Pelodiscus sinensis: one gene and its partners. The protein of the gene in region 1 purifies or fractionates together with the protein of each later gene. This does not show direct contact. Links are inferred from orthologs where the notes say so. Each region holds a gene or a part of one and is shown on either strand. Other genes may lie near its edges.

Evidence for each region. The genes of interacting proteins can lie anywhere in the genome.
Region 2: the proteins of H2AX (region 1) and HNRNPR purify together in Homo sapiens (affinity purification with mass spectrometry; 3 studies listed by BioGRID and IntAct, with this or other methods). This does not show direct contact. The link is inferred for Pelodiscus sinensis from reciprocal best matches to the Homo sapiens genes H2AX and HNRNPR.
Region 3: the proteins of H2AX (region 1) and PPM1G purify together in Homo sapiens (affinity purification with mass spectrometry; 4 studies listed by BioGRID and IntAct, counting the BioPlex papers as one, with this or other methods). This does not show direct contact. The link is inferred for Pelodiscus sinensis from reciprocal best matches to the Homo sapiens genes H2AX and PPM1G.
Region 4: the proteins of H2AX (region 1) and WRAP53 purify together in Homo sapiens (affinity purification with western blotting; 3 studies listed by BioGRID). This does not show direct contact. The link is inferred for Pelodiscus sinensis from reciprocal best matches to the Homo sapiens genes H2AX and WRAP53.

The regions. Positions count from the first base shown.
Region 1 is NC_134736.1:119,991-126,717, forward strand, and holds H2AX (histone H2AX), read left to right. Parts: upstream 1-4,339; 5' UTR 4,340-4,847; coding exon 4,848-5,276; 3' UTR 5,277-6,111; downstream 6,112-6,727. Other genes in the region: DPAGT1 (UDP-N-acetylglucosamine--dolichyl-phosphate N-acetylglucosaminephosphotransferase), read left to right, coding at 2,574-2,661, 3,399-3,554, 3,977-4,042. UniProt on the Homo sapiens protein: Variant histone H2A which replaces conventional H2A in a subset of nucleosomes. Nucleosomes wrap and compact DNA into chromatin, limiting DNA accessibility to the cellular machineries which require DNA as a template.
Region 2 is NC_134735.1:23,169,419-23,177,521, reverse strand, and holds the start of HNRNPR (heterogeneous nuclear ribonucleoprotein R), read right to left. Parts: upstream 3,056-8,103; 5' UTR 2,986-3,055; coding exon 2,908-2,985; intron 1-2,907. UniProt on the Homo sapiens protein: Component of ribonucleosomes, which are complexes of at least 20 other different heterogeneous nuclear ribonucleoproteins (hnRNP). hnRNP play an important role in processing of precursor mRNA in the nucleus.
Region 3 is NW_027465901.1:419,082-426,966, reverse strand, and holds the start of PPM1G (protein phosphatase 1G), read left to right. Parts: upstream 1-4,830; 5' UTR 4,831-4,978; coding exon 4,979-5,098; intron 5,099-7,885.
Region 4 is NC_134734.1:10,097,187-10,104,965, forward strand, and holds the start of WRAP53 (telomerase Cajal body protein 1), read left to right. Parts: upstream 1-4,724; 5' UTR 4,725-4,849; exon of another isoform or gene 4,850-4,932; intron 4,933-5,032; exon of another isoform or gene 5,033-5,365; intron 5,366-5,501; 5' UTR 5,502-5,613; coding exon 5,614-5,819; intron 5,820-6,097; coding exon 6,098-6,196; intron 6,197-6,614; coding exon 6,615-6,723; intron 6,724-7,172; coding exon 7,173-7,261; intron 7,262-7,480; coding exon 7,481-7,571; intron 7,572-7,687; coding exon 7,688-7,779. Other genes in the region: uncharacterized protein LOC102454093, read left to right, coding at 40-408, 1,310-1,409, 2,507-2,554, 2,809-2,927, 3,264-3,405, 3,596-3,705. UniProt on the Homo sapiens protein: RNA chaperone that plays a key role in telomere maintenance and RNA localization to Cajal bodies. Specifically recognizes and binds the Cajal body box (CAB box) present in both small Cajal body RNAs (scaRNAs) and telomerase RNA template component (TERC).

The DNA.
Region 1 (6,727 bases):
GACCAGCAGGCTCCCCTGCTTGCCCAAGAGCCCTGCACCCCACTCAGAAACACAGCTATGGGGTGCTTTCTCTTTGAGTCCAGATGGGAGGGGGGGAGATTCAGCCGCTGCTCCCACCCCCAGCACAATCCTATTGGCCAGTTTCTGGACAGACACTGGCCAATGGGAGCTGTTTGTGTGAATAACAGGCAGTCACAAAGGACAACCCTCCTGCTCACACTCAAGCACATGGCCGAGTAGGCAAAAACACTTTAAGCTCTGTAAGTCTTTAGCTCTGCAGGCAGGCTGGCATGTCATCTGGGGAGAACCTGCCTCTGGCACCTCAGCCTCTCCCTTCCCCAACCACTCCTGCCCCGCTACTCCACATGAACCCATACTCCCTCCCAGATCTGGCACCCTAATCTCTTGCCTGAGATCACAGTCCCCTCCTACCCTAGGTCACAACTACCTGATTCACCCAAACTCCCTCCCAGACTCCATTCTTCCTCCTGCACTCCAATCCTTTACCCCAAGCTCCCTTCTGTACCCAACCTCCTTCCCAGACCCCACTTCTCCTCCATTAATACCATGGAAGAGTACAGCTCTTGGCTGCTTTCCAAAATCTTGGGAGCGGCCCCCCATCACAAGTTATTGTATACCCAGTCCTAGAAAGAAGGTGTGAACTGTAGAGTCCTGATTGTAAGAGCCCTAAAAATCTACAGATATCTGCTTTATATATATATGTGGGTATCCAGATTTGTGAATGTGGAGGCAAATATCTGCAGCTCATTTTTATGGACACAGATGCAAATTTTATATCCACGCAGGGGTCTAATGATGGGACCTTTTAGTACTATGAAAGCTTAATACAGACTAGGGATATAAAGAAGTCAAGTATACAATGAACAGATAAGCCTAGGCTCATTGGTAATCTTCTTTACTATTTGCATTTCTTCCCCCCCCCCCCCCCCCCCCCCCCCCCCCCGCTTGCTGTCTTGTATCAGGGGGTGAGGAGGGAAACAGGAGCCAATGCTAGGAGGGAGCTGGCTTAAAAGCTGGTTTTCACCGCAGCACTGGCTATGCGGTGCTGCCCTCCCCCTCTTCCCCTCCCCTCCCATTTCTGCCTTTATTAGACATACCAGTGTGGGGTGAAGAGGGCAGGGGAGGCTGCTGTGAAGTAGTCTGCTCGTTGCAGGCCCAGGTTCTGAGCTCCCTACGCCTCTGTCTGTGGTAAGCCTGGATCCATTGTGGACAGGGGCTGCTGCCGGGCCAGCTTCTTTTCAGGGCAACCCAGGCTGCTGTGGACAGAAGCTCCTTCCTGGCTGCCTTTCTTCCTCCTCTTCCCACTCTCCAGCAGCCTCTGTGTGCGGGGAGTTTGGACCCTTGCAGACAGGGCTGCTGCCACTCCGTGGCTCCCCTTGTGGACTGGCTCCTGCCTGGCACCCCATGCTGCTGCCTTTTTATACCGAGGCAGCAGTGCAGAATGTTAGAGTGCTCCCCAGGAGTGCACCCCAATAATCTTGCCCAGTCTTCTCATTCCCACACACCCCTTTGTAAGTAGACATAGAAATATTTTAAATTAACTCCTGCAAATGACCAACCTCTGTAAGTAACACAGAAGTACCATGATGTACTGTAGTTTGTTTGACAAAGGGACCTTGTCGGCATATCACTCAGTAAAGTATTTAGCAGAGCAAACTGGCCCCGCCCCTGGGGCCTATAGAATAGTTGAGTAAACAATAGGAATTCATGCAGTTACTCAACTGTTGAATTAACCAGTATCTAACACCAAGTCTGTGTGTGTGATGTAAAATCTGCCATACTGAGTGATCTACTCACAGTGCAGCTGTCCCTAATATGTTTGGGTGATGCTTTGTAGATGGAGTTAGAACTGTGTTAACAAATAATGTTATAGCCCTGTAAAGAGCAGAGTTGAAACACTGTTCCTTAGTAGTGTTATAAAACACAGGGAAGAGTGAAGTGTTTATGCCATCTCTAAGGTTCTGTTATCAGTTCTATGCTACACGAACTGTCAATTTTCTATGTGTGGGAATTTCTATGTTGCCTTGAAATTGCCACAACTTTCTGCAACCCAGCTGACTGCCCCTCACACTACCCACAAAACATTCTTCTGGCCCCTGCCTTATTTGAGTGGCTACACATCTGAGACTCCTATAGGACTACTATGGCTACGTCAACACTGCTGGCTTCTTGCGCAAGAACAGCTGTTCTTGCGCAAAAACTTGTGGAGCATCTACACTGCACACGCGTTCTTGCACAAGTACATTTACAGTAAAGTGTCGGAACAGAGGGCTCCTTGTGCAAGAGTTATTCCTCTCCTTACGAGGAATAAGCCCTCTTGGGCAAGAGCTCTTGCTTTTGCACAAAAGCACATGGTAGCGTGGACGTGCTCTTGCACAAGAATTTTTGTGCAAGAACTCTTGCGCAAAACAGTTCTTGCGCAAGAAGCCTGCAGTGTAGACGTAGTCTACATGTATAGGATTACTCCAGATGTCTTCCCCCCCCCCCCCGCTTTTATAGAGAGATTTAGCCTCTTTGGTGCAACTGGACTAATATTTCAATGTTCTTTTCAGGCTCAATCCTGGAACAGGGAAGCTGGAAATGAGCTACTCCAAATTCAAAACCAAAAGTCTTTCAGCACTGGGAAAGTATATTCTAAAGGTACCTTGAGAGATAAGTAAAAATTGTCTTCTGTTATCAACTACACACTCTATGCCACGGGCACACAGTGCCTAGAGGGAACCACCAGCTGTTTTGAACAGTGAATGATTTTCCGCACTCCTAGGTCCCAATTGGCCTGGGAATGGGGGTGTGCATGAAGTCTTCCACTCCCCACCCAGAGGGATCCGCCCCTTTCTGCCCAAGGCTTCCGTCCCTCCTAAGGGGCCAGAGCCAGTCTGCAACCATGAATTAAAATTCATGAAGTGGTGCCCCCATCCAAAGGGGTTATTGCCCACCCCTGCTCTAAGTAGTAAACACATAGGTTGTGTCTACATTGGCAAGATTTTGCTCAAAAGCAGTCGCTTTTGTGCAAAATCTTGCCACCTGTCTACACTGGCTGCGAGTATTTGTGCAAGAACAGACATTGTAATGTACAAAATCAGTGCTTCTTGTGCAAATACTCTGACGCTCCCACTCAGGGATAAGCCCTCTTGTGCAAGTATTCTTGTGCAAGAGGCCAGTGTAGACAGGCAACGTTAATTTCTTGCACAAGAAAGCCCAATGGCTAAAATGGCCATCGGAGCTTTCTTGCGCAAGAGAGCGTCTACACTGGCACGGATGCTTTTGCGCAAAAGCACATGACAGTGTAGACACTCTCTTTGTGAAAAATCATGCCAGTGTAGACGCAGCCATAATGTATCTAATTAAAGATCGATTAACATACTTCTCTTCCCCAGGTATCAGAAACCTTTCATATAGTGGATGTGAGACAGAAATTAGACGAAGATGAAGAATACACAGAGTGCAACAACATGACGCTCATTAACTTTGTTATAAAGCTTATTGGACCAACCTCAGAGCAAACCCTCACTGTTCTGCTGCTTCTTATCCAGGTCAGGCAAATGCTCCCGCAGACAGGAGGGCCTACTCTACTGTGGATGTAGGTCCACACTAAAATTCTCAGGCACAGGGAACATTTTGATTTCACCCCTTCACTTATCTTTACATCTTTACTTCCACCATACCAAGTAGCTTGTTAAAGCGGGGGCTGTCTCTCACCTGCCTGAGTTAGCTATGGCTCTGCAATACAGAACCATACTGCTCCTCGGAGAGAATAATCTTGCCCAGTCTTCTCATTCCCACACACCCCTTTGAAAGTAGGCATGGAAATATTTTAAATTAACTTCTGTGTTACTTACAGAGGTGGGTCATATGATGTAGTTTGTTTGACAAAGGGATCTTGTCTTTATACCACTCGGTCAAGTATTTAGCACAAATGGATTCCAATGATCTTCCTTATTTTTTTCCTCTGTAGGTAGTGGGCAGCACCATTGCCTTTTTGATCCGGTACCAACTAGTACGCTTGTTCTATGATGTTTGACTGCGCTGCCAGTGGTAAGGGAAACTCCAGCACTTCCTGATCTACCTTTTACTTTTTCAGTTCCCTGCCACATGGCAGCAGGAATCTCGCTCTGTCTCAGAGTCACAGGCCCCCTTCCCAGATGTGAGTAAAGACTCTTACACTGGCCTCTCTCAGCTGAATTTTTTTCTGTGATGGGGTTGGGCAGAGGCCATTGGTCGGATGCGGGTGTTAATGTTACCTGAGTGTTGTGGACCTGCAGTGTCGTTAAACCAAGGACCAGATGCCAATAGGACGTGAAGTTTCTTACCTGTGGGCAGGGGAAGAGGGCTCCATGTCTATTTGTTCTGTCACTCAAGCAATTGCCCAAAGGGGGAGAGCATCCTACTCACACGTTACAGAATGGGGGTCTGCCCCCGGGGGCGGGGCAGAATGGATTCACCCTGGATGCTCGCACAGTGGCAGCCCCTGCCAAGGGCCAGTTCACGGGGTGGAACCCTGGACACTGGCAACGAGAATGAGGCTGCTCGGTTCCTTATTAGGCTTTGGGCTCCGTTTGAATTTGGCGCCCTGCCTTCTGATTGGCCTGTTCGGGCAGCCAATAAATGCATACCGTTTGGCCAGCTCCTGAGCCGAACCAATCCGTGAGAGAATCTGAATGACCAGCCAATGGCGGAATGCAGCGTCATCGCGCAGCGGCTATAAAAGAAAGCGCGCGCGGCGGGCGCCGGGGCAGTTGGCTGTGGCAGGCAGTGGCCCTTGCTGACGTGGGAGGCGATCGCTGGGCCGCGTGCGTCCTTTTCCTGCCCCCTTCTGTTCTCGCGCCATGTCCGGCCGCGGCAAGAGCGGCGGCAAGGCCCGGGCCAAGGCTAAGTCCCGCTCGTCGCGCGCCGGCCTGCAGTTCCCCGTGGGGCGCGTGCACCGGCTGCTGCGGCGCGGGCACTACGCCGAGCGCGTGGGCGCGGGCGCGCCGGTCTACCTGGCCGCCGTGCTCGAGTACCTGACGGCGGAGATCCTGGAGCTGGCGGGCAACGCGGCGCGCGACAACAAGAAGACGCGCATCATCCCGCGGCACCTGCAGCTGGCGGTGCGCAACGACGAGGAGCTCAACAAGCTGCTGGGGGGCGTCACCATCGCGCAGGGCGGCGTCCTGCCCAACATCCAGGCCGTGCTGCTGCCCAAGAAAGCGGGCGGCGGGCCCGGCCCGGCCAAGGGCGGCAAGAAGGGCGGCGGGCAGCAGTCGCAGGAGTATTAGCCGCCCGCCCGCCCCCCCCAAAGGCCCTTTTCAGGGCCGCCCCAGGCTCAGCGAAAGAGCTGCGGATCCGGGGCGGGTTTCCTGGAGGGGCGGCCCCCTCGCTGCGCTGCGCCCCGCTAGGCAGGCGTTCCCCGGGCCACGGCCGCGCGCTGCACACCAGGGGAACGAGGCGAGGTCCCCGTGATCTGCCCGGTGCCAGCGCCAGGGGCTTCCGTATTTCTGGGAACTGAGCCGTAACGCTGGTAGGCGGGACGAGCGGGCTCCACGTGCACAGGTGGGGCCGCGCCCCGAGCGTTGCTTGCGGCCAGGCTGGAGTCCGTCCTGTTACGGTGCCCGGAGAACTGCGAAACGCTGGCACCAGGAAGCAGCTGTGGCACAGACTGTTTAGTTGCCTGGTCCCACGTATCACCGATCTGAGGCTCTACCCGTTTAATGTTAAGGCTGAGAACATCTTGTCTGGGATCAAGCACAACCATCCTAAGTATTGTAAACTACGGAGCCCACGGACTCCACAGTGGGAGACTTTCACTTAGCAGCGATTACACTACTGTATTGGTGTACTCTAAAATGTTACTATTTACTAGTTTCATGCTGCAGTGAAACCAACTTTGATCTGTTGCAAGACAGCAGCTGCACACAGCAGCTTGCTCCACCTACATAATCAAACCAGAGACAATTTGAATTAGTACAAAACTTGTTAGTAAAACATCCAGTATTTCTTTCTGCCATGCCCTTTAATTTGGATACTTCTAAATCTGCTGTAGTAGCCTTTCATTGCTTGTATATCCCTGAAAATGTACTGTGTGTAATAAAATAGTGGCCAGCAACAAAAAAATGAATCTTAGTAATTGGTTGTACACAGCATGGAAAAGAGCACTGCTCAAAACTTACATTTTCCTAGTTTGTGCATTGAATTTGAAGGGTGGAGGTTCAATTACATTTTTCAAATGTGAGAAAATGTAATTGTACCTACAAAATTAAATCAAATACACAGTTTGGACAGCTGTCAGGCACAATCCCTGCTATTTGGAGGATTTCAAGGGCATATTTCATGCACATAAGAAATTACATGGCCCTGGAACCAGTTCCACATGAAAGTAAAATAGTTAGTAGGTGTTAGAGATATTTAAACATGGTTTCATTTACAAAACACCATCTCTGCATTTCACAATTTGAAAGGCCTCTACAATACATTCGTACTGGCTTATAAAATGAAGGGGATTAATCACTAGTTGAAATGCATATTCTCTTCCACTATGGAGTTTGCTGCTAAGCTTGGAAGGAAATTAAGTTGATCAAAGAAAATTCATGATACGTTGCATTTGTAGACACCATTGCTCTGGTTAATTTGGTCTGACAATTTTAAATGAATGCAATTAGTGTTGATTTATAGCAGTGAATAAACATTTATCTAAGCATCATCCATTATAGATTCCTTATGACTGGAAATG
Region 2 (8,103 bases), on another chromosome or scaffold:
TTCCAGACCCTACCTTCCTCACCCCATCCTTCACCCCACTTCCCCCCCCAAGATACTGCATCCCTATCACACTCACTGGCAGCCCTGTCCCACACACTGGGACAGGGCTTCATTTTTTTCCCCACCCCAGAGCCGAAGGGGGTCCACAAAATCCACTAACTGCAGAACTCCAGAAAAGTAAATCTGGCCTATGGGAAGCCCTGAACCTCAGTACCTGACCCTTCCCCTCAGGAGGCTGGTGTGCCAGGTGAGGTGTCTCAGTTGGGGTCAACATCAGTGAAGGTTGGGGGGTTTGGGAGGAGTTTTTTTTTGCTTCTCACTTGTGTGATCCCCAACTGATTTTTCTGTGGGTCAGTGACTTCCAACCCAAAAGGTTCCTCACCCCTGCTATAAAGAAAGAAAACACTGAAACCTGTGTGTTGGACATAAACTTCATTTTAAATAAAGTAAAACATTGATAAACTAACACAAGCAAGTTAAAAAGCTTAATCTGTTTAATAATTTAAATGAAACCATTCTCCCCAGCTGCAGCACTAGCAAAATGGCTTGGGTACAATTATGTAATTAACAGTGAATTTCCATTAGCAACTGGTACTCCAGGGAAAGATTTGCATTGACTCAGGTGGTCCACGGGGAGCCAAGTGGAAAGCCCCTTCCCCCAGAGAGAGGAGCACAGCCCAGGTCAGGAGAGTTAAATTTTGGCCCACCACTTCAGAAGGGTTGCTGACCCTGGTGTAGTCAATCAACTAGCAAAAGCTTATAGGTCAATGCTATAGACTATATACATTTCTCTCTCTCACACACACACCCACCCACCCCACACAGCCCAGACCAGTTCCTGCTCACACCAGGTCCAGCTCAGTCCCCACTGTATCAGAGACAGCAACGCAGAGCAACAGGTAGCCAGTCCACAAGGAGAGCTGAATCAGAGGCAGTGGTATGGACTGGCAAGCAGCTCCTCCCAAGTGGGGCCAGAGCATACTGGCAGTGGGCCCCAGCCCCGGTGACTACAGGGCTGCCAGCCCTAGGGACTACAGAATAGTTGAGTAACTTATGAAAATTCACAAGGTTATTCAACTATTCAATTAACCAATATTTAACATCCCTACTCTGAACTTCATTTTACTAGCCTCTCACTCCACCTCCAAATGGGTCAGCCAGCTCAAGTTACAAATAGGGTGACACTCAAATTAGGGGGTTGGATGTGGAGGAAATTCAAGTTAGTGACAATACTTGAGTTACCACTCATGAACTCTGCCGTGAAGACATGTGCTAACATGTATGAATTTTACCTTCCAGAAGGTCACTTCAGTTCTCTATCTGTAATAGTAATTTATCTACCACTCAGTATTAATGACAGAATAAATCCATTAACATGTCTGGTGTACCCAAATATTACTGAGATTCACATCATAACTAGGGATGTGAATAGCTAAAGGGTTAAATGGTTACCCAGTAAGCATCACCCTTAACCAGTAATGCTTACCCGGTAACAGTCAACAGGTACCAACCAGGAGCAGCTTAGCCTCTATCAGAGGGCTGCTCAACTCCTGTGGAGTTCCCCACTGGGTCAGCCCCCCTGCCTACCTTCTCTTTAATGGATTAAATATTGTGTTAGTAGGATGTTTAACCATTTAACCAAATGGGATTTTACATCCCTAAATAATTAACAGCAGACAGACGATTGAGTAGGGATATAAAATACCCAAAAAGAACAGCCACTTTTAGAATAAAGAATGCTATTAAGTAGAATTTTGCTAGTCAGCAAACCTTATAAATTTACACAGAAATCAAGTCAATTCACAGAAAGGTTTAAAAAACCCACTAATTACTGACACTTTCTTACTCCTACAGAATACACCATGTATGACACTAATAATTGTTCTGCAGTATGTCAAACAGAAAAATGTGTGGCCATCAATGATACCCACAGCACAAAAGTATCAAAGCTGTTAAAAATGTTTTTGCCCAGTAATGGGAGAAAAGACAAAAAGAAGATACAAAGAAAAGTCTAAACAACTTCCTCTAAATAAGCCTATGCTGAACCATAGGTCAAGTAAGGCTACATTCACAGGGTAATGCATAACATGGCCACTAAAACACAGTAATTAAATCCACTTTAGAAATGTGTATAAGTATTTAATAAAAAATTAAATCCAATTTAGATCCTGTATGTCTAATAAAAACGTTAGTGGATAGAAGTTTGCTAAAGTTCAGCACAGAAAATGCAATTTCATATTAGCGAGATTCTTTCATCTTTCTAGCCCAAAGCAAGGCGTACCACCTAGAACCAAACACAAAACGCGACCTAACCGCTATTAAACTCGGGCAGTGTAAGTTTTAGCTTCCTAAAGCCGAAGCTAGCGAAGCACATCCTGGGCGGCTTTACAGCACGGGGGTCGCCTGCTTACAGCAATGCAGGCGGGTCAGCACGAAGGCTGGAGCCTCGGTACTCCCAGCCCAGCCGCGCACGCGGTGTTGTGCCCAGCGGCCACGGGCTGTGCCTCCAGGCAGCTTTGAGCGGCCACGCGCGGCCCGCGCGAGGAAGGGCGGGGGGGGGGGGCTGCGCTGGACGCGCGGCAGACACAATGCCAGGCGGGCGCCAGCCACATGCAGGAGCCGGCCCACGTGCGGAGCGGAGCGGGCCGCGGGCAGCGCACGGCCCCAAGCGGCGCCCCGTGGCCTCGGGCCCGGCTGGCGCTCTACGAGGCGGCCCACGCGCTGCCGCCCAACCCCGAGCGCCATCCCCAGCCCAAACCAGGCCCCGCGGCGCCTCCGGAGCGCGGCCTAGTCCCGGCCGCCAGGGCCCAGCGCCCCGCCTCGGCCGAGCGGGGCTGGCTACGCACCCGCGGCGGGCCAGCTCTCGGCCAGCCCCCCACCCCCCGGCGGCGGCCCCGCGGCACTCACCGGAGCGCGGCCTACGCGGCGCGGCTGGGGCCTAAGCAGCGACTGCAAATGGCGCGCGCGCGCCTCCTTTCGCCTCATGGACGGCGGCGCGACCCCGGCAAAACGCGGGGTTTCCCAGAACTGCTTCCAGGGCTCCCTGCATTAGCCAATCAGCGTATTGGGAGCCAGACGAGCAGCAAGGCGGAACCTATTAGCGATCGGAGGCGAGACACGATTATTCTAGGGGACCAATTAGAGAAGACAGAGGCCGACGCGCCCGCAGAGCTAGGGCCCGAGATCGGAAATTTAAAGAGGCAGCTGCGCCTCGCTGAACAAAGGGAGGGGCCGCCTCCACCGCTGGGCGGGGCCAGGGCTGTGAAGAGCCGCTCGCGCTCGCGCCCGCGCCCTACGGTTCTCACAGGTACTGAGCCAGGGCACCGCCCCGGGCTGGAGGGCAGGGCAAGGTGCGGGGAGCATGGAGGAGAGGGGTGGGGGCGGGGCAAGGTGCGGGGGGGTTCGGGGTGGGGGCAGGGCAAGGTGCGGGGAGCATGGAGGGGTTTGGGGTGGGGGGCAGGGCAAGGTGCGGGGGGGTTTGGGGTGGGGGCAGGGCAAGGTGTGGGGGGCATGGAGGGGTGGGGGCAGGGCAAGGGGTGGGGGGCATAGAGGGGTGGGGGGCAGGGCAAGGGGTGGGAGGCATGGAGGGGTTCAGGGTAGGGGGCAGGGCAAGGTGTGGGGGGTATGGAGGGGTTTGGGGTGGGGGGCAGGGCAAGGTGCGGGGGGGTTCGGGGTGGGGGCAGGGCACGGTGTGGGGGGCATGGAGGGGTGGGGGCAGGGCACGGTGTGGGGGGCATGGAGGGGTTTGGGGTGGGGGACAGGGCAAGGTGCGGGGGGTTCGGGGTGGGGGCAGGGCACGGTGTGGGGGGCATGGAGGGGTGGGGGCAGGGCAAGGTGTGGGGGGCATGGAGGGGTTCGGGGTGGGGGGCAGGGCAAGGTGCGGGGGGTTCGGGGTGGGGGCAGGGCACGGTGTGGGGGGCATGGAGGGGTGGGGGCAGGGCAAGGTGCGGGGAGCATGGAGAGGTTTGGGGTGGGGGGCAGGGCAAGGTGCGGGGGGGTTCGGGGTGGGGGCAGGGCACGGTGTGGGGGGCATGGAGGGGTGGGGGCAGGGCAAGGTGCGGGGAGCATGGAGAGGTTTGGGGTGGGGGCAGGGCAAGGTGCGGGGGGGTTCGGGGTGGGGGCAGGGCACGGTGGGGGGGGCATGGAGGGGTGGGGGCAGGGCAAGGTGTGGGGGGCATGGAGGGGTTTGGGGTGGGGGGCAGGGCAAGGTGCGGGGGGGTTTGGGGTGGGGGCAGGGCACGGTGTGGGGGGCATGGAGGGGTGGGGGGCAGGGCAAGTTGTGGGGGGCATGGAGGGGTGGGGGCAGGGCAAGGTGTGGAATGCATGGAGGGGTTCAGGGTAGGGGGCAGGGCAAGGTGTGGGGGGCATGGAGGGGTTCAGGGTAGGGGGCAGGGCAAGGTGTGGGGAGCATAGAGGGGTTTGGAGTGGGGGCAGGGCAAGGTGTGGGGGGTTTGGAGTGGGGGCAGGGCAAGGTGTGGGGGCATGGAGGGGTTCGGGGTGGGGGGCAGGGCAAGGGGTGGGGGGCATGGAGGAGCTCAGGGTAGGGGGCAGGGCAAGGTGTGGGGGGCATGGAGGGGTTCTGGGTGGGGGCAGGGCAAGGTGTGGGGGTATGGAGGGGCTCAGGGCAGGTGGGAGCTAGGAGCTGAGAGTGCAGCCACTGTAGCCCACCTGTCAGATCCCCTCAGCTGGCCGAGCTGGCTGGCCACCTGAGCTGTGGGTTTATTATCGTGAGTACTGATTCCAGCCCAGAAGGCCTGGAACCTTGTGCCCCTCCCCCCAGTTCTCTGGTAGTGGGGACAGGATTGGGCTCCTGTGAGGCAGAAGGGGTGGGATGAGCACCCAACATAAGAATCTTACAGTGTCCGGCAGCAGCTAGAGTCCTGCCCCCAGCTAGCCACTCTCCTACTGCACACCACCTTACTTTCACTTCTAGTATCTTGTTTGCAACACTCTTGTTAATGCATCCCAGAATCATGTTTGCCTTTTTTTTTCTTTTTTGCAACAACGTTACACTACTTATACACATTAAGGCAGGGATGAGCAAGAGGCAGCTAGCCAGCGGGATCCAGTGGCCACCTTGCCAGCACCCTTACTACAGAGCAGTTGCAGCTGCTTTAAACAGTGGTCTGCTAATTGATATGCAATCTGGGCAGGGAGTAGGGATGTTAAAAAGTGTCTAATCAGATAGTTGACAAGTTGTTTAGTTGATAAAGGGGGGAAACTGCAGAGTTGCAGCAACCTTGCTGCAGCTCTGCCTTTTAAATCTATTAAGTGTTATCAGGCTGTTAGACATTTAGGCTATGTCTACACTGGCATGATCTTGCGCAAGAACTCTTTTGTGGAAGAATACTTGTGCAAAAACTCTTGCAGAAGAGAGCGTCTACACTGGCATATGCGTTTGCGCAAGAGCATCCATGCCAGTGTAGACACTCTCTTGTGCAAGAAGGCTCTGATGGCCATTTTAACCATAGGGCTTTCTTGTGCAAAAAATTCATGTTGCCTGTCTACACTGGCCTCTTGCGCAAGAACAGTTGCACAAGAGGGCTTATTCCTAAGCGGGAGCATCAGAGTTCTTGCACAAGAAGCCCTGATTTCATACATTAGAACGTCAGTGTATTTGCGCAGTGTAGATAGGCAGCAATTTTTTGCGCAAAAGCAGCTGCTGCTTTACCACATCTTCACAGTGGTTAGTTGATAGGAGCAAATGCTCTCCTTGACTTCCCGTGCTCCTTGCAAATAGAGGAGTACCCGTGCTGGCCAGGGGTACCCTCACCATTTGATTTAGTGGGTTTTATTAGACCTGCTAAATGGAATACCAGAAGATTGATCTCCGCTGTGGCAACTGGAGATGTAACCTCAATCTTCAGGGAAAATTGTTTTTAAAAAATGAAACTTCTGCCAAAACGCTAGCATGCTATGGTCTTTGAAGTTCACAAAACAATCCCTTCTTGCTTACATATTATCTTCACAGCTTTAGGATGCCAAGCAAATCTGTGAATCAGCTAAAATAGTCATGTTCTTGTTTCAAATATTAATAAATATTTTTCTGGTACTGGAGCATAAAAAACATTTACTTAGTCTTATACAATATGTCTGGGATGTCAGCTCTTCAGCTGACTGATACTGCACACACCATAGAACAGTAAAATTAAGTAACAGAGCAAAACAGACTGCAAACAAACAAGTGGCAATACCATGAATGGTGAGTGAAGCTGCTGCTTGGGGAAGCAAGCTCCCCAGCCTGTGGCCTCTTTCATACGCCACATCTTCTGTCTCAAGCCCCACTATGTCCATCCTCTCCTCCTACGGATGTTAAATATTGGCTAATCAAATATTCGATTAACCTCATGAATTCTTATCAATTACTCAACTATTGTATAGTCCCCAGAGATGGGGCTGGCAGCCAATGCATTCCAGCCCCACTCTCAAGGAGCCCCCTGCCTCTCCACCTTCCATCAGAGGCAGCAGCGCAAGGTGCCAGTTGGGAGCTGGTCCGCAAGGGGAGCCAGTTTAAAAACCAGCTCCTCTCATGGACAAGGTGCCTGTTGCCCCACGCAACTGCTTCTGATACAGAGGCAGTAGCATGGGGTGGCAGCAGCCTCTGTCCAGTGTGGGGCTGAGCTCCTGGACCTGGAGAGAGCCAGATCTGAGCAGGGCTGCAGATCAGCCTGCTAAAAAATTTACAGGCAGGAGGGAAAGGAAATGCATGTAGTCCATGGCATTAACCTATAAGCTGTTTCTTATTGGTTAATTGACTACACTACTACATCCCTATCTCCTTCCTATCAAATCTCTGAACCCAAATGTAGAAAATGGCATTGCAGGGCCCCACTCTTCTGCAGTTTCTTGTCAGATAGTGAAGACTAGACATGCAGAAGGTAATAGAAAACATGGAAATGGCTGAGGTGCTTAATGACTTTTATTTTGAATTTCACCAAGGAGGTTGGTGGTGACTGGATGCCTAACATACTGAATGCTAGTGGAAATTGTAGCCATGTAGTTAAAACGTAGTTTTAAGCTAAATAATGTGCCTCAGTGTACTTTGCCAGCTACCCTTTCTAAAAGCAGAAAGGACCTTTACCTTACTTTTGGTAAAGGTTCACCAGCCCAAATATTGTAACTAAAGCTCATTCCAAGGTAGGGATAGTGTGACAGACCGGACTAGGCTCAGAGCAAATTGCTCAAATTTGGGGCTCCTTACAGCTCCCAGACTGGAGACCTTCCCAAATAGGCCACAAACCAGTCCCACGGAGCGCTTCAGCTGCCTGCCTGGCCAGCCAGAAGCCTCACGAGCAAAACCCCTCTGACTCCTCAGCAATATCTGTGCCCCAGATGGCCCTGGACCCCAGGTGAGGGGTCTTAGAGCCCAATCTCACCTACCCCAAACAAGTTCTGTCTGGTTCCAAGAAACGAGCCACAGATCCCAGGTTTACCCTCTGGCTCTTACCCACAAACCACGCTGAGCCAATCCTTTAGAATCTACCATCTAAAGGTTTATTACTACTAGAAAGAAAAGCGTGAGAGTGAGGTTGTTAACGTATCATACATTACATGCGTCGAATCTCCCAGTTCTTGATGCAGGCTTGCAGCAGAGATGTTATAACTGCTAGCTTAAAAGTCTTTGGTGTACATCCTACATCAGGATGGGTCCACAGTTCTTTCCGGCTCCTCCATCCCTGCACTCTTGCCTCTGGAATGAAGAGCTGAGCTGAGCACCCAGATGGAGTCAGCCACATGGCCTATTTATACGCCTCCCTGGCTTCTTCCAAGCTGGAGGGAGTCACAGGCCAGGCATCCAGGTTCTCTCTCAGGTAGGTCTCTGGTACTTAAGAGACCTATTGTTTGAAACAGCCTTGCTCATTCGCATGTCCATAGGTTGAGCTGCCTTGCCCATTGCTCAACCACATACAGAGAAACTTTCAATATCCACACAGAGTACATGCTTATAACTTCACACAGACATTATATGATTACATGAATAGCATATATAGAATTACTATAAGATAAGCTTTCATTTGACACTCGCATGACCCCCTTTGTACCAACTTTTGGGGCAAACACCCCCTCTATGGGTGCAGCAATGATCTGGCAGCTCCCCTTAAA
Region 3 (7,885 bases), on another chromosome or scaffold:
AGGGCGGGGGGGGGAGAGACAGACACAGGGTCCCCAGGGGCGCAGGGCGGGGGGGGAGAGACAGACACAGGGTCCCCAAGGGCACAGGGCGGGGGGGGGGGAGACAGACACAGGGTCCCAAGGGGTGCAGGGCGGGGGGGGTGAGAGACAGACACAGGGTCCCAAGGGGCGCAGGGCGGGGGGGGGGAGACAGACACAGGGTCCCAAGGGGCGCAGGGCGGGGGGGGGGGGAAGAGACAGACACAGGGTCCCAAGGGGCGCAGGGCGGGGGGGGGGGAAGAGACAGACACAGGGTCCCCAAGGGCACAGGGCGCGAGGGGAGAGACAGACACAGGGTCCCCAAGGGGCGCAGGGCTGGGGGGGGGGGGGAGAGAGACAGACACAGGGTCCCCAGGGGCGCAGGGCGGGGGGGGAGAGACAGACACAGGTCCCCAGGGGCGCAGGGCGGGGGGGAGAGACAGACACAGGGTCCCCAGGGGCGCAGGGCGGGGGGGGGAGAGACAGACACAGGGTCCCCAGGGGCGCAGGGCGGGGGGGGGGAGAGACAGACACAGGGTCCCCAGGGGCGCAGGGCGGGTGGGGGGGGAGACAGACACAGGGTCCCAAGGGGCGCAGGGCGGGGGGGGAGGGGAGACAGACACAGGGTCCCAAGGGGCGCAGGGCGGGGGGGGGGGGGAAGAGACAGACACAGGGTCCCAAGGGGCGCAGGGCGGGGGGGGGGGGGAAGAGACAGGACACAGGGTCCCCAAGGGGCGCAGGGCGGGGGGGGGGGGAGAGAGACAGACACAGGGTCCCCAGGGGCGCAGGGCGGGGGGGGAGAGACAGACACAGGGTCCCCAGGGGCGCAGGGCGGGGGGGGGAGAGACAGACACAGGGTCCCCAGGGGCGCAGGGCGGGGGGGGGGAGAGACAGACACAGGGTCCCCAGGGGCGCAGGGCGGGTGGGGGGGGGAGACAGACACAGGGTCCCAAGGGGCGCAGGGCGGGGGGGGGGGGAGAGACAGACACAGGGTCCCAAGGGGCACAGGGCGGGGGGGTGGGGGAGACAGACACAGGGTCCCAAGGGGTGCAGGGCGGGGGGGGAGAGAGACAGACACATGGGTCCCCAGGGGCGCAGGGCGGGGGGGGAGAGACAGACACAGGGTCCCCAGGGGCACAGGGCGGGGGGGGAGAGACAGACACAGGGTCCCCAGGGGCACAGGGCGGGGGGGGGGGAAACAGACACAGGGTCCCCAGGGGCGCAGGGCGGGGGGGGGGGGAGAGGACAGACACAGGGTCCCCAGGGGCACAGGGCGGGGGGGGGGGAGAGACAGACACAGGGTCCCCAAGGGCACAGGGCGGGGGGGGGGAGAGACAGACACAGGGTCCCAAGGGGCACAGGGCGGGGGGGGGGGGAGACAGACACAGGGTCCCCAGGGGCGCAGGGCGGGGGAGACAGACACAGGGTCCCAAGGGGCGCAGGGCGGGGGGGGGGGAGAGACAGACACAGGGTCCCAAGGGGCACAGGGCGGGGGGGTGGGGGAGACAGACACAGGGTCCCAAGGGTGCAGGGCGGGGGGGGGGAGAGACAGACACAGGGTCCCCAGGGCACAGGGCGGGGGGGGGGGGAGACAGACACAGGGTCCCCAGGGGCACAGGGCGGGGGGGGGGGAAACAGACACAGGGTCCCCAGGGGCGCAGGGCGGGGGGGGGGGGGAGAGACAGACACAGGGTCCCCAGGGGCACAGGGCGGGGGGGGGGAGAGACAGACACAGGGTCCCCAAGGGCACAGGGCGGGGGGGGGGGAGAGGACAGACACAGGGTCCCAAGGGGCACAGGGCGGGGGGGGGGGAGACAGACACAGGGTCCCCAGGGGCGCAGGGCGGGGGGGGGAGAGACCAGACACAGGGTCCCCAGGGGCGCAGGGCGGGGGGGGAGAGACAGACACAGGGTCCCCAAGGGCACAGGGCGGGGGGGGGGGAGACAGACACAGGGTCCCAAGGGGTGCAGGGCGGGGGGGTGTGAGAGACAGACACAGGGTCCCAAGGGGCGCAGGGCGGGGGGGGGGAGACAGACACAGGGTCCCAAGGGGCGCAGGGCGGGGGGGGGGAAGAGACAGACACAGGGTCCCAAGGGGCGCAGGGCGGGGGGGGGGGAAGAGACAGACACAGGGTCCCCAAGGGCACAGGCGGCGAGGGGAGAGACAGACACAGGGTCCCCAAGGGGCGCAGGGCGGGGGGGGGGGAGAGAGACAGACACAGGGTCCCCAGGGGCGCAGGGCGGGGGGGGGAGAGACAGACACAGGGTCCCCAGGGGCGCAGGGCGGGGGGGGAGAGACAGACACAGGGTCCCCAGGGGCGCAGGGCGGGGGGGGGGAGAGACAGACACAGGGTCCCCAGGGGCGCAGGGCGGGGGGGGGAGAGACAGACACAGGGTCCCCAGGGGCGCAGGGCGGGTGGGGGGGGAGACAGACACAGGGTCCCAAGGGGCGCAGGGCGGGGGGGGGGGGAGAGACAGACACAGGGTCCCAAGGGGCACAGGGCGGGGGGGGGGGAAACAGACACAGGGTCCCAAGGGGTGCAGGGCGGGGGGGGGGAGAGACAGACACAGGGTCCCAAGGGGTGCAGGGCGGGGGGGGGGGAGACAGACACAGGGTCCCAAGGGGCGCAGGGCGGGGGGGGGGGGAGAGACAGACACAGGGTCCCCAGGGGCGCAGGGCGGGGGGGGAGAAACAGACACAGGGTCCCCAGGGGCGCAGGGCGGGGGGGGAGAGACAGACACAGGGTCCCCAGGGGCGCAGGGCGGGGGGGGGAGAGACAGACACAGGGTCCCCAGGGGCGCAGGGCGGGGGGGGGGAGAGACAGACACAGGGTCCCCAGGGGCGCAGGGCGGGGGGGGGAGAGACAGACACAGGGTCCCCAGGGGCGCAGGGCGGGGGGGGGGAGAGACAGACACAGGGTCCCAAGGGGCGCAGGGCGGGGGGGGGGGGAGAGACAGACACAGGGTCCCCAGGGGCGCAGGGCGGGGGGGGGAGAGACAGACACAGGGTTCCCAGGGGCACAGGGCGGGGGGGGGAGAGACAGACACAGGGTCCCCAGGGGCGCAGGGCGGGGGGGGGGGAGAGACAGACACAGGGTCCCCAGGGGCGCAGGGCGGGGGGGGGGGAGAGACAGACACAGGGTCCCCAGGGGCGCAGGGCGGGGGGGGGGAGAGACAGACACAGGGTCCCCAGGGGCGCAGGGCGGGGGGGGGGGAGAGACAGACACAGGGTCCCCAGGGGCGCAGGGCGGGGGGGGGAGAGACAGACACAGGGTCCCCAGGGGCGCAGGGCGGGGGGGGGGGGAGACAGACACAGGGTCCCCAGGGGCGCAGGGCGGGGGGGGGGGAGAGACAGACACAGGGTCCCCAGGGGCGCAGGGCGGGGGGGGGGGGGAGAGAGACAGACACAGGGTCCCCAGGGGCGCAGGGCGGGGGGGGGGGGAGAGACAGACACAGGGTCCCCAGGGGCGCAGGGCGGGGGGGGGGGAGAGACAGACACAGGGTCCCCAGGGGCGCAGGGCGGGGGGGGGGGGAGAGACAGACACAGGGTCCCCAGGGGCGCAGGGCGGGGGGGGGGAGAGACAGACACAGGGTCCCCAGGGGCGCAGGGCGGGGGGGGGGAGAGACAGACACAGGGTCCCCAGGGGCGCAGGGCGGGGGGGGGGAGAGACAGACACAGGGTCCCAAGGGGCACAGGGCGGGGGGGGGGGGGGGGAGACAGACACAGGGTCCCCAGGGGCGCAGGGCGGGGGGGGGGGGGAGACAGACACAGGGTCCCCAAGGGCACAGGGCGGGGGGGGGGAGAGACAGACACAGGGTCCCCAGGGGCACAGGGCGGGGGGGGGGAGAGACAGACACAGGGTCCCCAGGGGCACAGGGCGGGGGGGGGGGAGACAGACACAGGGTCCCCAGGGGCGTAGGGCGGGGGGGGGGGGGAGAGACAGACACAGGGTCCCCAGGGGCGCAGGGCGGGGGGGGGGGGAGAGACAGACACAGGGTCCCCAGGGGCGCAGGGCGGGGGGGGGGGAGAGACAGACACAGGGTCCCCAGGGGCGCAGGGCGGGGGGGGAGAGACAGACACAGGGTCCCCAGGGGCGCAGGGCGGGGGGGGGGGGAGACAGACACAGGGTCCCCAGGGGCGCAGGGCGGGGGGGGGGGGAGAGACAGACACAGGGTCCCCAGGGGCGCAGGGCGGGGGGGGGGGAGAGAGACAGACACAGGGTCCCCAGGGGCGCAGGGCGGGGGGGTGGGGGAGAGACAGACACAGGGTCCCCAGGGGCGCAGGGCGGGGGGGGGGGAGAGACAGACACAGGGTCCCCAGGGGCGCAGGGCGGGGGGGGGGGGAGAGACAGACACAGGGTCCCCAGGGGCGCAGGGCGGGGGGGGGGGAGAGACAGACACAGGGTCCCCAGGGGCACAGGGCGGGGGGGGGGGGGAGAGACAGACACAGGGTCCCCAGGGGCGCAGGGCGGGGGGGGGTGGACACCCGGGGAGATTCGGAGCAGGTCTCCCGGCAACCAGCCTCCCTCTGGCGGCAGCTCTCCCGGCACCCAGACCTCCAATACACGCGTTGGCCGCTCTGCTCTCTGAACGTCTCCATGGCGGGTACTTCCGGCCGCTCGCGCGCGCTCCCCCGAGACTCTATGGCGGGTATTTCCGGCCGCTCGCGCGCGCTCCCCCGAGACTCTATGGCGGGTATTTCCGGCCGCTCGCGCGCGCTCCTCCGAGACTCTATGGCGGGTATTTCCGGCCGCTCGCGCGCGCTCCCCCGAGACTCTATGGCGGGTACTTCCGGCCACTCTGGTTCCGGCCGGTAGCTCTGTGGTGGCTGGTTCCGCCTCCCTCCCTCTCTCCTTTCCTCCGTCCCTCGCCGCCCGCCCGCCCGCGCTCGGCTCGCGCCCCGCCAGCTCCCGCCAGTCCCGCGCGGCCCCAGGGCCCGGCCCCCGGGCAGCCCGCGCGCCATGGGCGCCTACCTGTCCCAGCCCAACACGGTGAAGAGCTCGGGGGACGGCGCCGGGGCCGGGCCGCGCCCGCTGCACTTCGGCTTCAGCGCCATGCAGGGCTGGCGGGTCTCCATGGAGGTGAGCGGCGGGGCGGGGGGGGGCGGGGCGCGCGGGGAGAAGCGGGGGGGGGGGGGCGGGGCGCGCGGGGGGGGAGAAGCGGGGGGGGGGGGGGGGCGCGCGGGGGGGGGAGAAGCGGGGCTCGCGGGCGGGGCGCGCGGGGGGGGGGAGAAGCGGGGCTCGCGGGCGGGTCACGCGGGGGGGGGGAGAAGCGGGGCTCGCGGGCGGGTCACGCGGGGGGGGGAGAAGCGGGGCTCGCGGGCGGGTCACGCGGGGGGGGGAGAAGCGGGGCTCGCGGGCGGTTCACGCGGGGGGGGGGGAGAAGCGGGGCTCGCGGGCGGGTCACGCGGGGGGGGGGAGAAGCGGGGCTCGCGGGCGGGTCACGCGGGGGGGGGGAGAAGCGGGGCTCGCGGGCGGGTCACGCGGGGGGGGAGAAGCGGGGCTCGCGGGGGAGAAGAGGGGCCCGCAAGATCTCGGAGGGCAGGTTGCGTGGGGGAGAAGCGGGGCCAGCAGGCGGGACGCAGGGCTTTGGCGGGGAGCGCCGCAGGGCCCGTTTTGAGCCGGGCTTGTCTGTCCTCAGAGCCCCCTTTCCGTGCTGCTTCATACGTGCCGTTCTCTCTGCCCTGGCTGCTCTGGCCTGGCCCGCGCTGCCCCTTCCTGGAGCCTGTGGTGGCACCGAGACCCCTCACAGAGAGTGAATCTGCTCTGCAGCCTTGGCCGGCTTTGTGCTCAAGCTGCGAAAGTGCCAGGTTCGGTCGCACCTGTGCGCATTACATTTGCTCCCCCTGGCATACTTTCTCAAGGCTGGGGCATATTTATAGCTCGCCCTGAACTCCCTGCCAAGCTCTCAATATTCTGCTGGTAACGAATGGGATGTATTAGTAGTGTAGCCCTGAACTGTACTGTGTCCTATCACGCTACTGCCTCCTAACTAGCTTTCTCTTTGCTTTCCCCATTACAAATGTCTTATCCATTTCTGCTACTCTCTTTTACCCACCTTTGCTCATTTTTAACATGGGAGTAAGGAATCACCATTGGGACAAACTGCCAAAGACAGGAATGAATTGTCCATCCCTTGATGTGTTCATATCCAGATATGTTCCAGAAAAGCAACCATCTTTAGTCAAATGTAAATTATTGGGCTCACTACAGGGGTAACTGTGTTGGACTCCATAGCCTGTGTCATGCTGAAGGTCTGACTAGAGGATCTAATAGTCCTTTCTGGCCTTAAACATCTATAAATCAATGAGGACCTGGGCTTTAGAGTCTTTGTCACCAGCTGGATTAACTACACATTAAGATGAAATCTCCTATTATTTTGTGTCGGTGTATCTAAAATCTCAAGAGTCTTGCTTACATTACAAAATTCCCTGCTCACCTGGTGTATGGAAGGCTTCTCGATCCAATTGGGGTTTTACCACCATATGGCTATGTCTACACTGGCAGCTTCTTGCACAAGAACATCTTGCGCAAGGGTTCTTGTGCAAGAGGTCTTGCGCAAGAAAACGTCGACACTGCCATGTGCGAGCTGTGCTTTTGCGCAAGAGCGCCCATGGCAGTGTGGACGTTTTCTTGCGCAAGAAGGCTCTGATGGCCATTTTAGCCATAGGGCTTTCTTGTGCAAGAAATCTCTGCCCAGCGTCCACACTGCCCTCTTATGCAAGAGTTCCTGCACAAGAGGGGTTACACCCGTTAAAAAAGAGCATAGCTCTTGCGCAAGAAGCCCTCTCTTACCACCCCATACTGTACATTTCTGCGGGCCGGCAGTGTGGATGCTCAGCGGATTCTTGCACAAGAACAGCCATACTTGGGTAAGAAGCTGTGACTGTAGACATAGCCTACAAGTTAGATTTATAGTCCACAGTCTGAACTATAACCATGGTAAAAATGGGTCTGGCTGCCCAGAGTCATGAACAAAGCAAGGCTCTCACCACTACCTGGAATTTCTTAGTAACACTCCCTCTTAGGTACATAAGAATGGCCATGCTGGGTCAGAGCAAAGGTCCACCTAGCCCAGTATCCTGTCTGCTGACAGTGGCCAATGCCAGATGCCACAGAGGGAGTGAACACAACAGGTACCCCTCAAGTGATCCCTCTTCAGTCACCAGTTCCCAGTTGCTGATAGATGTTAGGGACACTATTCCTACCCATTCTGACTAATAGCCATTGATGGACATAACCTCCATGGATTTCTCTCAATTCTTTCTTGAACCCTGTTGAAGTCCTAGTCTTCACAACCTCCTCTGCCATGGAGTTCCACAGGCCAACTATGCACTATGTGAAGAAAAACTTCCTTTTGTTTTTGTTTGCTACCTATTAACTTCATATGGTGACCCCTAGTTCTTATGTAATGGGAAATAACTTTTCCTTATTCACTTTTTTCCACACCAGTCATGATTTTATAGTGCTGTATCATTTCTCCCTTTAGTCTCCTCTTTTCTAAGATGAAAAGTCCAAATCTTTTTAATCTCTCTTCATATGGGACCCATTCCAAACCCCTAATAATTTTTGTTGCCCTTTTCTGAACCTTTTCCAATGCCAATATGTCTTTTTGAGATGAGGCGACCATATCTGTACACAGTATTCAAGATGTGGGCATAGCCTGGTTTTATATCGTGGCACTAAGATGTTATCTGTTTTATTCTCTATCCCTTTTTTAAATGATTCCCAACATTCTATTTGTTTTTTTGGCTGCCACTGCACTCTGAGTGGATGGTTTCAGAGAACTGTCCATAATGACCCCAAGATCTCTCTCCTGAGTAGTTGTCACTAAATTAGTCACCATCAGATTGTGTGTATAGTTGGGAT
Region 4 (7,779 bases), on another chromosome or scaffold:
GGGGCTCTGGATGTGGAATTTTTGGGGGCACCAGGGTAGAATGTAAAGGGATTCAGGGGAAAGCCATTAGAAAACGGGTGGGAGCTCTGGCAAGGAAATTTGGGGGTAGCTGCAGAGGGATTTTGGGGAGCAGCTACTGCAGGGTACTCTGGGAGTGCGCTTAGGAAGATCAGGTGGGGGGCTACACCGGGGAGGCAACTCTCACCCCCCATGGCTGGAGCCTCAGGGTGGCAGGTTCTGGGGGCGCTGTGGCTGGGAGGAGGTGCAGCCCTGGGGGTGCTAGCCTGTCTCATGGCCCTCACAGTGCAGCAGGCCAGCCTTGGGGCCCTGCGGGGGGAGCTGGCCCGGCTGCGGGGGGAGCTGGCGGCTGCCAGGAGAGGAGAGACCCAATCCCCAGAAGTGACTCAGGTGAGGACCCCCCCCCCGATTCACAGGGGGCCCTATGAGAGCAAGGGAGTCAAGTGGTTACATGGGGGGGGGAGGACTCCTGGATTCTCTCCCCGGCTCTGGGAGAGGAGTGGGGGCTGCTGGTTAGAGGGGGGGTTGGGTGCCAGGACTGGGTTCTCTCCCCGGCCCTAGGAGGGGGCATCTTACCAGGGAAAATCCGAGGCGCTGCTTTGCTTTCGCTCTCCCCTTATTCTCCACGAGGGAAGACCCCAGAAGGGTTAAAAAACTGAGGGTCCCCCCCATTGGGGTGGGCGCGGGGCTGGGGGACATGCGAAGCCGCAAACGCAAAGCCCGGACCGATCGTTAGCGCGGGCGGAGGAGGAGGAAACGACCCACAGCTCTGGGAAACCCCGCGAGGGGGAGGGGAAGGCTCCCAGCCCCCACTCCTGTCCACGATCTGCTGAGAGAACTCAGGCGCCCTGGCTCCCCGCCCACCCTCTGCTAAGATCAACCGGCCCCCACCGCCTCCCAGAGCCGGGGAGGGAACCCAGGCCCAGGCCGCCCCCCGACCCCCTCCCCGGGCCCCTGCACATTGTGTAACTGCCCTGCAGGTCTGGGTAATCTTTACAGAGCTGAACAGCGGCCTCGCTTCCTTAGTTCCACTTCCAACGAGCATTGCCCAGCTACACCCACATCCGGGAGGGGCGTGGGGACAGCTGGAGCAGGAGGGCTGGGAGCCAGGACTCCCGGGTGCTCTGCTCGGGTCGGGGAAGGGAGTGGGGGCTGGTGGGTTAGAGCAGGAGGGCAGGGTGCCAGGACTCCTGTGGGTTCTCTCCACAGCTCTGGGAAGGGAGTGGCGTGTAGGAGTTAGAGCAATAGCTCTGTTCCGGGGTTAACCCTCTCCTGTCCGTCGTTCTTTCAGGAGTCCGGGGAGCCAGGCCTGCTCCTGGGGACCCTGTTGCGGCAAAGAGGGAAGAGGTTCTCCGAGAACTCAAGGGACCAGGACCAGCGACAGCCACATAGTCAGTGTCTGGGGCTGGCGGGAGGCAAGAGGGAGGAAGGGACAAGGGGCTGCAGCTGTCAATCTATGTGTGTGTGTCCTCTTCTCCCTGGCTGTGTCTACATTGGCATCCCTTTCCGGAAAAGGGATGCTAATGAGACACTTTGGAATTGCAAATCCGCGGGGGATTTAAATATCCCTCGCAGCATTTGCATATACATGGCTGCCGCTTTTTTCTGGCTCGGGGTTTTTGCCGGAGAAAAGCGCCAGTATAGACGCAATTCTCCGGAAAATAAGCCCTTTTCCGGAAGATCCCTTATTCCTACTTTCAAGTAGGAATAAGGGATCCTCCGGCAAAAACCCCGAGCCGGAAAAAAGCGGCAGCCGTGTAAATGCAAATACCGCGGGGGATATTTAAATCCCCCGCGGATTTGCAATTCCGAAGTGTCTCATTAGCATCCCTTTTCCAGAAAGGGATGCCAATGTAGACACAGCCCCTGTGTGCAGAAGATGGGACACAGATAGAGCCTCTCCTCTCTAAGGACCACCATCTCCCATCCAGCCCCTAGGGCAGGGACTGACTGCGGGGGGGGGGGGGGGAGGACGAGAGAATGGAAAGTAACAAACTCAGGGAGGGAAGCACCACATGATGATCTCACCTCTCTTAATCTGGAGTCATCCCTGATGGCAGAGGTATCAGGCTTGGATTCTGCTTCCAATTCTTGACCTCAGGTCAATTTCTGGTAAGAGCTGTTACTCCCTGCTCCCACAGTGGAACCCCAAGCTGAGATGGTGGCAGAGATGGGATCCCTCACTGATTATCTCTGTGAAACTATGGACCTTGCGTGGTGCCGCCTGAGATGCTCTGGGGATAGTACCTAGCATTGAGGTTGGGCTGTAACCTGGCAGTTCTGGGGACACCAGACTTAAAGCCCTTTGGCTCACACTGCTTGGTGTGAGCAGTGGGATCAAGTGCCACCTGGTAGGGCTGTTTAAGTTCCCAGTGGCAGATCCAAGCTTTGGCAGCCTAGGGTAAAGGAGAGCAAACAGAGAGGAAGGGCAGGTTATGGGGAGGGAAATTGGCAAGTCACAGTCTCTCTCTCTCCAACTTATCCCCAGGGAAACGATCGGTTCTGCATCTGGCCCCCAGCCACTGCTCCACCAATGGTGAGTCATCAACCCCCTCAACACCCTACCACAGTACCCTCCTTCTATGGGTGACCCACACTGAAAATCAAGACTCCTGGGTTCTCTCCCTGGCTCTGGGAGAGGTGTAGGGGCTGGTGGGTTAGAGCAGGAGGGAGCTGGGAGCCAGCACTCCTAGGTTTTCTCCTGTCCCAGGAGGGGAGCTGGCTCCAACAGGGTAGATCAGGAGGAGCTGGGAGCAAAGGGGCACTAACAGCCTCCCATCTGCTTTGCAGACGAAGGGGACATGACTGAGATCTGGTGGCAGCCTTTCCTGCAGCAGGGCCAGGCACTGGAAATCAGTGGCCCAGACATCACTGTGAAGAAGACGGGTTTGTACCTCATCTACAGCCAGGTAAAAGCCCCCTGCTATGGGGGACAGCCCCAAACTCCATTGCCCACCCCTGAGCCAGCAATCCCTACCTTGGGACTGGATGGGAGCCAGCACCACCTAGAGGGAATAGGCCCTGTACTCCATTGCCCACCCCGTGGGCCAGCCAATCCTTGCCTTGGGGCTGGATGGGCGCCAGCATCACCTAGAGGGGACAGGCCCCATGCCCCATTGCCTGCTCCCCTGAGCCAGCCATTTCCTGCCCTGGTGTCAGATGGGAACTGGCACCCCCCTGAGGTGACAAGTCCCCTGCCCCATTCCCCAGTGACAGCCAATCCAATCCTCTCCCCTGCCCCCCAGGTGCTGTTCCATGACCCTACATTCACCATGGGGCAGGTGCTGTGGCGGGCACCACTCGGAGGCCCGGGGCAGATCCTGCTGCGCTGTGTGCAGAGCATGCCCCGTGAGCTGGAGCAAGCCTACAACAGTTGTTACAGCGCAGGTGAGGGAATCCTGGCATTGGGAGGCAGGCTCCAGCTATTGGGGGTGCAGGGCAAGGACCACTGGGGGGGGGCAAGTGGGAAAAAGGGAGAAGCAGCCACTGGGGGAGTGATTTACAGGGAATGGGGAGATCTGTCCCTGAGCAGGTTGGGAGGTGGGCTCTCCACACACATCCCATAATGTCCCCCCAGGTGTTTTCCAACTCCAGCGCGGAGACCGACTAAGCCTTCGCATCCCTCGAGCCAATGCATCCCTGGACCTTAGCCCCCATGGGACCTTCCTGGGCCTATTCCGCCTGTAGGGCCCACCCATGAGACCCAGGCATCCAGAGAGCTGCAGAGGGATTTGGCCAGGATGGGCAGAACTTAGACACTGGTGTCCAGGGAGCTGCAGAGGAATTCAGCCACCAGAGATTCAGGAGCCAAACCTCCCATCAGGAGTGTGTGAAAGGGGTTCATCACCAGAGGGCAGCAGAACTCCACCCTGGCCAACAGGGGCCGCTGACAAGCACACCTGCCCTGAAACAAACCAATACAACTAAGGAAACTCCAGGCAAAAAAAAACTTTGTGAAGGTTGCAAATGGAGTTTGCATCATGGAGGCCTTTGAACAATCCTGGCAACGGTGGGGCTGGAGGCCAGAACTTCTGGGACCTGAGAAGGGAGTGGGGACTAGAAGTGGGGCAGGGGAGGAGGGAGGCTTGGAGCCAGGACTCCTGGGTTCTCATCTGGCTTTTGTACAAAATCCAAGGCCACAGAGATGCCTGGCAGCCACATGGGTACAGCACAAACAGTGCTAGCCCAGGTGGCTTGACCAGCCTGGAAGGAAGCCAGGCATCTGGGAAGTAGCTGAGGAACTGGGCTGGTTTGTAAGAAAGGGACCCAGGCATCTGGGGAGCTGCTGAGGGACTCAGGCATCCTGAGGGAAAGGATCCAGGCAGCTGTGGAGGGACTCAGCCGGCCTGGGAGAAAGGGACTCAAGCATCCGGAGAGCTGCAGTGGCACCTTAGAAGATCCCCCCACCCCCACTGTTACAGTCCCAGGTTGGAGCTGGGACTGGGGGGCTCTCTCCTGTTGGCTTGTTACCTGCTAATAAAACAATTATTGCACGTTACCAATGTCTCCCCCCAAAGGGGATGCTGCATGGCCCCCAGGCCTATGTCCCCCGCGCCAACCACCCTCCCTCCCAGCCAAGCCCCCGCACGCCCTGATCCAGCTGCCCCGCAGTCCGGATAGACACACCCCAGCCGCCCTCCACCTCCATTGGGCCACATACGGGGCTCGGCTCAGGGGCTGAGATCTCGCGGGATTTCAGTGGGGGGCGTGGGAGCTAATGGTTCGGATCCTGTAGCGTTTCCGGGCACCTCTCGCGAGATGTGTGCGAGGGGGCGGGGTCTCCTGCTACTATGGCCGCCGTCAGCCCTTGAGCTTCTGGTGCTGCTGGGAGGTAACGGCGGAGCCCCGAAGATAGTGTGTTCTTCCACGCCCTCCCGCAAAGAGTGGACTATTCCACCTCCCTCCGCCCCAGGAGTGAGTGGGCTGTTCCATCCTCCTCCCTCCCGCCCGAGGAAGAATGGGCTCTTTCACCCTCCCCCTCCCTAAGGGAGTGGGCTCTTCCAGACGTCCCCGGGAAAAAGTGGACCTTCCCGCGGGGCCTCCGTATGGGAAAGATTGGGCTCTTCCACCAACCCATTTCCCCTAGTCCCACGAAATAGCTGGACTCTTCCATCCTCCTCACCCCAGGACAAAGTGTACTCTTCCACCTATCCTTCCCTCCACCGGAGAGAGTGGGCTATTCCACCCCCCCCCCGAGAATAGTTTCTTCCATGCATTCCGCGCTCCCCTAGACAGTGGGTTCTTCCATCCAGCCATTCCTCTCCCCTCCCCCGTCCCATCGTGGGTAAGAGCCGGGAACTTGGAGACACCTGGTCTTGGAGGCGGGGCTGGGAGCCAGGACTCAAAGGTTCGCTCCCCAACTCTGGGAGGGGAGTGGGGGCTGGTGGTTGGAGCAGGGGGGTTGGGAGCCAGGACAGCTGGGTTCTTTCCCAGGCTCTGGCAGTTGCTCTGCACCATTAACTCTTTCTCGCCTGGCTCTGCAGGTGCCCGTCCTGCGCTCTGGGAATGACTGACTCCCCAGGCACCCTGGGCAGCTCCAGCTGGAGCCAGAAGACGGACATCCCTGAGCGCTCTGCCAGCTGAACCCTCTGTGCTATGGAGCCGGGCATGCCCGGTGATACTGTGGATGACCCCACTGGAGGGGACCCCGGGTCCCAAGCGTTGCCTGCCAAGCTGGCCAGGCAGAACAGCTCCCCCCCAGTATCTGCGCCAGAGCGGGTGCAGAGTGAGGGGCCGGCAGAGGACGGGGATGAAGCGGTGGAGGATGGAGGGCAAGAAGCGGCATGGGAAGACGAGGGCTAGTAAGGACCTGGTGACAAGTGGGGCCCCACACATACAGCTGCTGATCTTGGATCTCAGCGGCACGGGGAGCATCTGGTTCTGATTGTGGGGGCTGAGCTGGGGAGGGGTGTTTTGAGCTGCTGTGTGAACCAGAGACTAGCTCATTAAAACTGGGGGTAAGGGCTGGGAGCCAGGACGTCTGGGTTCTGGCTCTGAGGGCAGTGGGAGCTGCTTGAGTTAGAGCAGGTGTCCTGGGCTTCCTTTGTACCAGTGTCTTCCTCTCTTTTCCCCCTCCCAGCCTTCCAGGCTATGAGTTCTTGGCTCCCCCCAAGCTGTTGACAGGCGCTTGGGGCGAATACAGCCAGGTGCCAGAGAACTTCCTGAAGGGCTGCAAGTGGTAGGTGGCTGGGCTGGGGCCTGGGGAAGGGTAGATATCTGGGGACTCTGCCCTGGGATTGGAGGCCCCTGGAGGGCTGTGGGTGGCATAGCACCCCCTCGTGGAAATAGGCTACTCTCAGTGCAGCACAGAGCCCCAAAATTGTTTCCTCTAACTCCCTGGACTGGGACCCCCTTGTGTTGGTTGCTGGGCAGGGCTGAGGGCTTCCCACAATGGGATGGGTGCTGCTCATACCCTCAGTACAGAAGAGTGAGTGGGGAAACTGAGGCACAGGGAATTTCTAGCCGAGCATTGGGCAGGGACTAGAGGCTGGTGGGTTAGAGCAGTGGGGGCTGGGATCCAGGACTTCTGGGTTTTCTCCCCAGCTCTAGGGCAGAGGGGTCACCCTGATGGCCTGGCTCTGCCTTCCTCTCTCCAGGGCCCCAGATGGCTCCTGTCTCCTGACCAACAGCGCTGATCACACCCTGCGCATTTACAACCTGCCCGTGGAGCTGTACGGCCCGGAGTGGGGGGACGTGGCTGAGATGGTAGGAGGGAGGGGCACTGCTGGGGAGTGGGGCAGGAGGAGCTTGTCGAGGGAGAGTTGCTCCCTGTGGGGGTGGGATTGTGCTGGTTCCATGGGTGTGTGGGTGGGGGACAGCCTCTAAATGGAGGGCCCCCCGCCATAGCTGTCCTGGCAGGCAGGATGGGGCTAGTCAGCTGGTAAAGGGGCTGGGGTGTTCCCCCAAATTGTAGTCTGCTCGTGGCTTACATGTCTGAAGAATTAAAATCTCTTGCTCCCCCACCAGCCTGAATTCCCCTCCCAGAGATAAGAAGAGAACCCATGAGTCCTGGCTCCCAGCCCCCTGCTCTAACCACTAGTCCTCACTCCCCAGAACCAGGAGTTCTGGCTCTGTTTGTTCTCTCTTGCCCCACCATGCCGTGATGCACCTTTTGCTGCCTGACTGTCCATATCTGTGTGTCTGTCTCCTCCCAGAGTCCTGTGCTGCGAATGGCTGAGGGAGACACCGTTTATGACTATTGCTGGTTCCCGCTGATGAGCTCTGCGGATCCCCCCACCTGCTTGTAAATGCTGCAGCCTGCAAAGGGCGTCCCCTACTGACGGGCTGTCTACCCCACTGCACTGAGAGAGAGTGCAAGCCTTTCTCATCAGGCCCTGGGCAGGGACTGTCTGGCCCAAGGGGGCGGGGAATGGGACATGTGGCCTGTCCACACTCTGGAGCGCTGGCTCCACCATTGTCCCCCTGTCCTGCACACTCATGTTTCCCGCTTGTGATCCTGCAGCTTTGCCAGCAGCAGCCGAGACAACCCCATCCATGTGTGGGACGCTTTCCATGGGGAACTGCGGGCCACGTTCCGCTGCTACAACCACCTGGTGGGTACAGAGCCTGGTTCCCATTTCCTGTGCTCTAACTACTAGGCCTCAACCCCTCCCGGAGCCAAGGTAGAACTCAGGAGTCCTGACACCTCTCTCTGTGCATCTGTCCCCAGGATGAGCTAACAGCCGCTCACTCTCTGTGCTTCACCCCCGACGGCTCCCAGCTGTTCTGTGGGTTTGACAAGGCTGTGCGGGTGTTCGACAC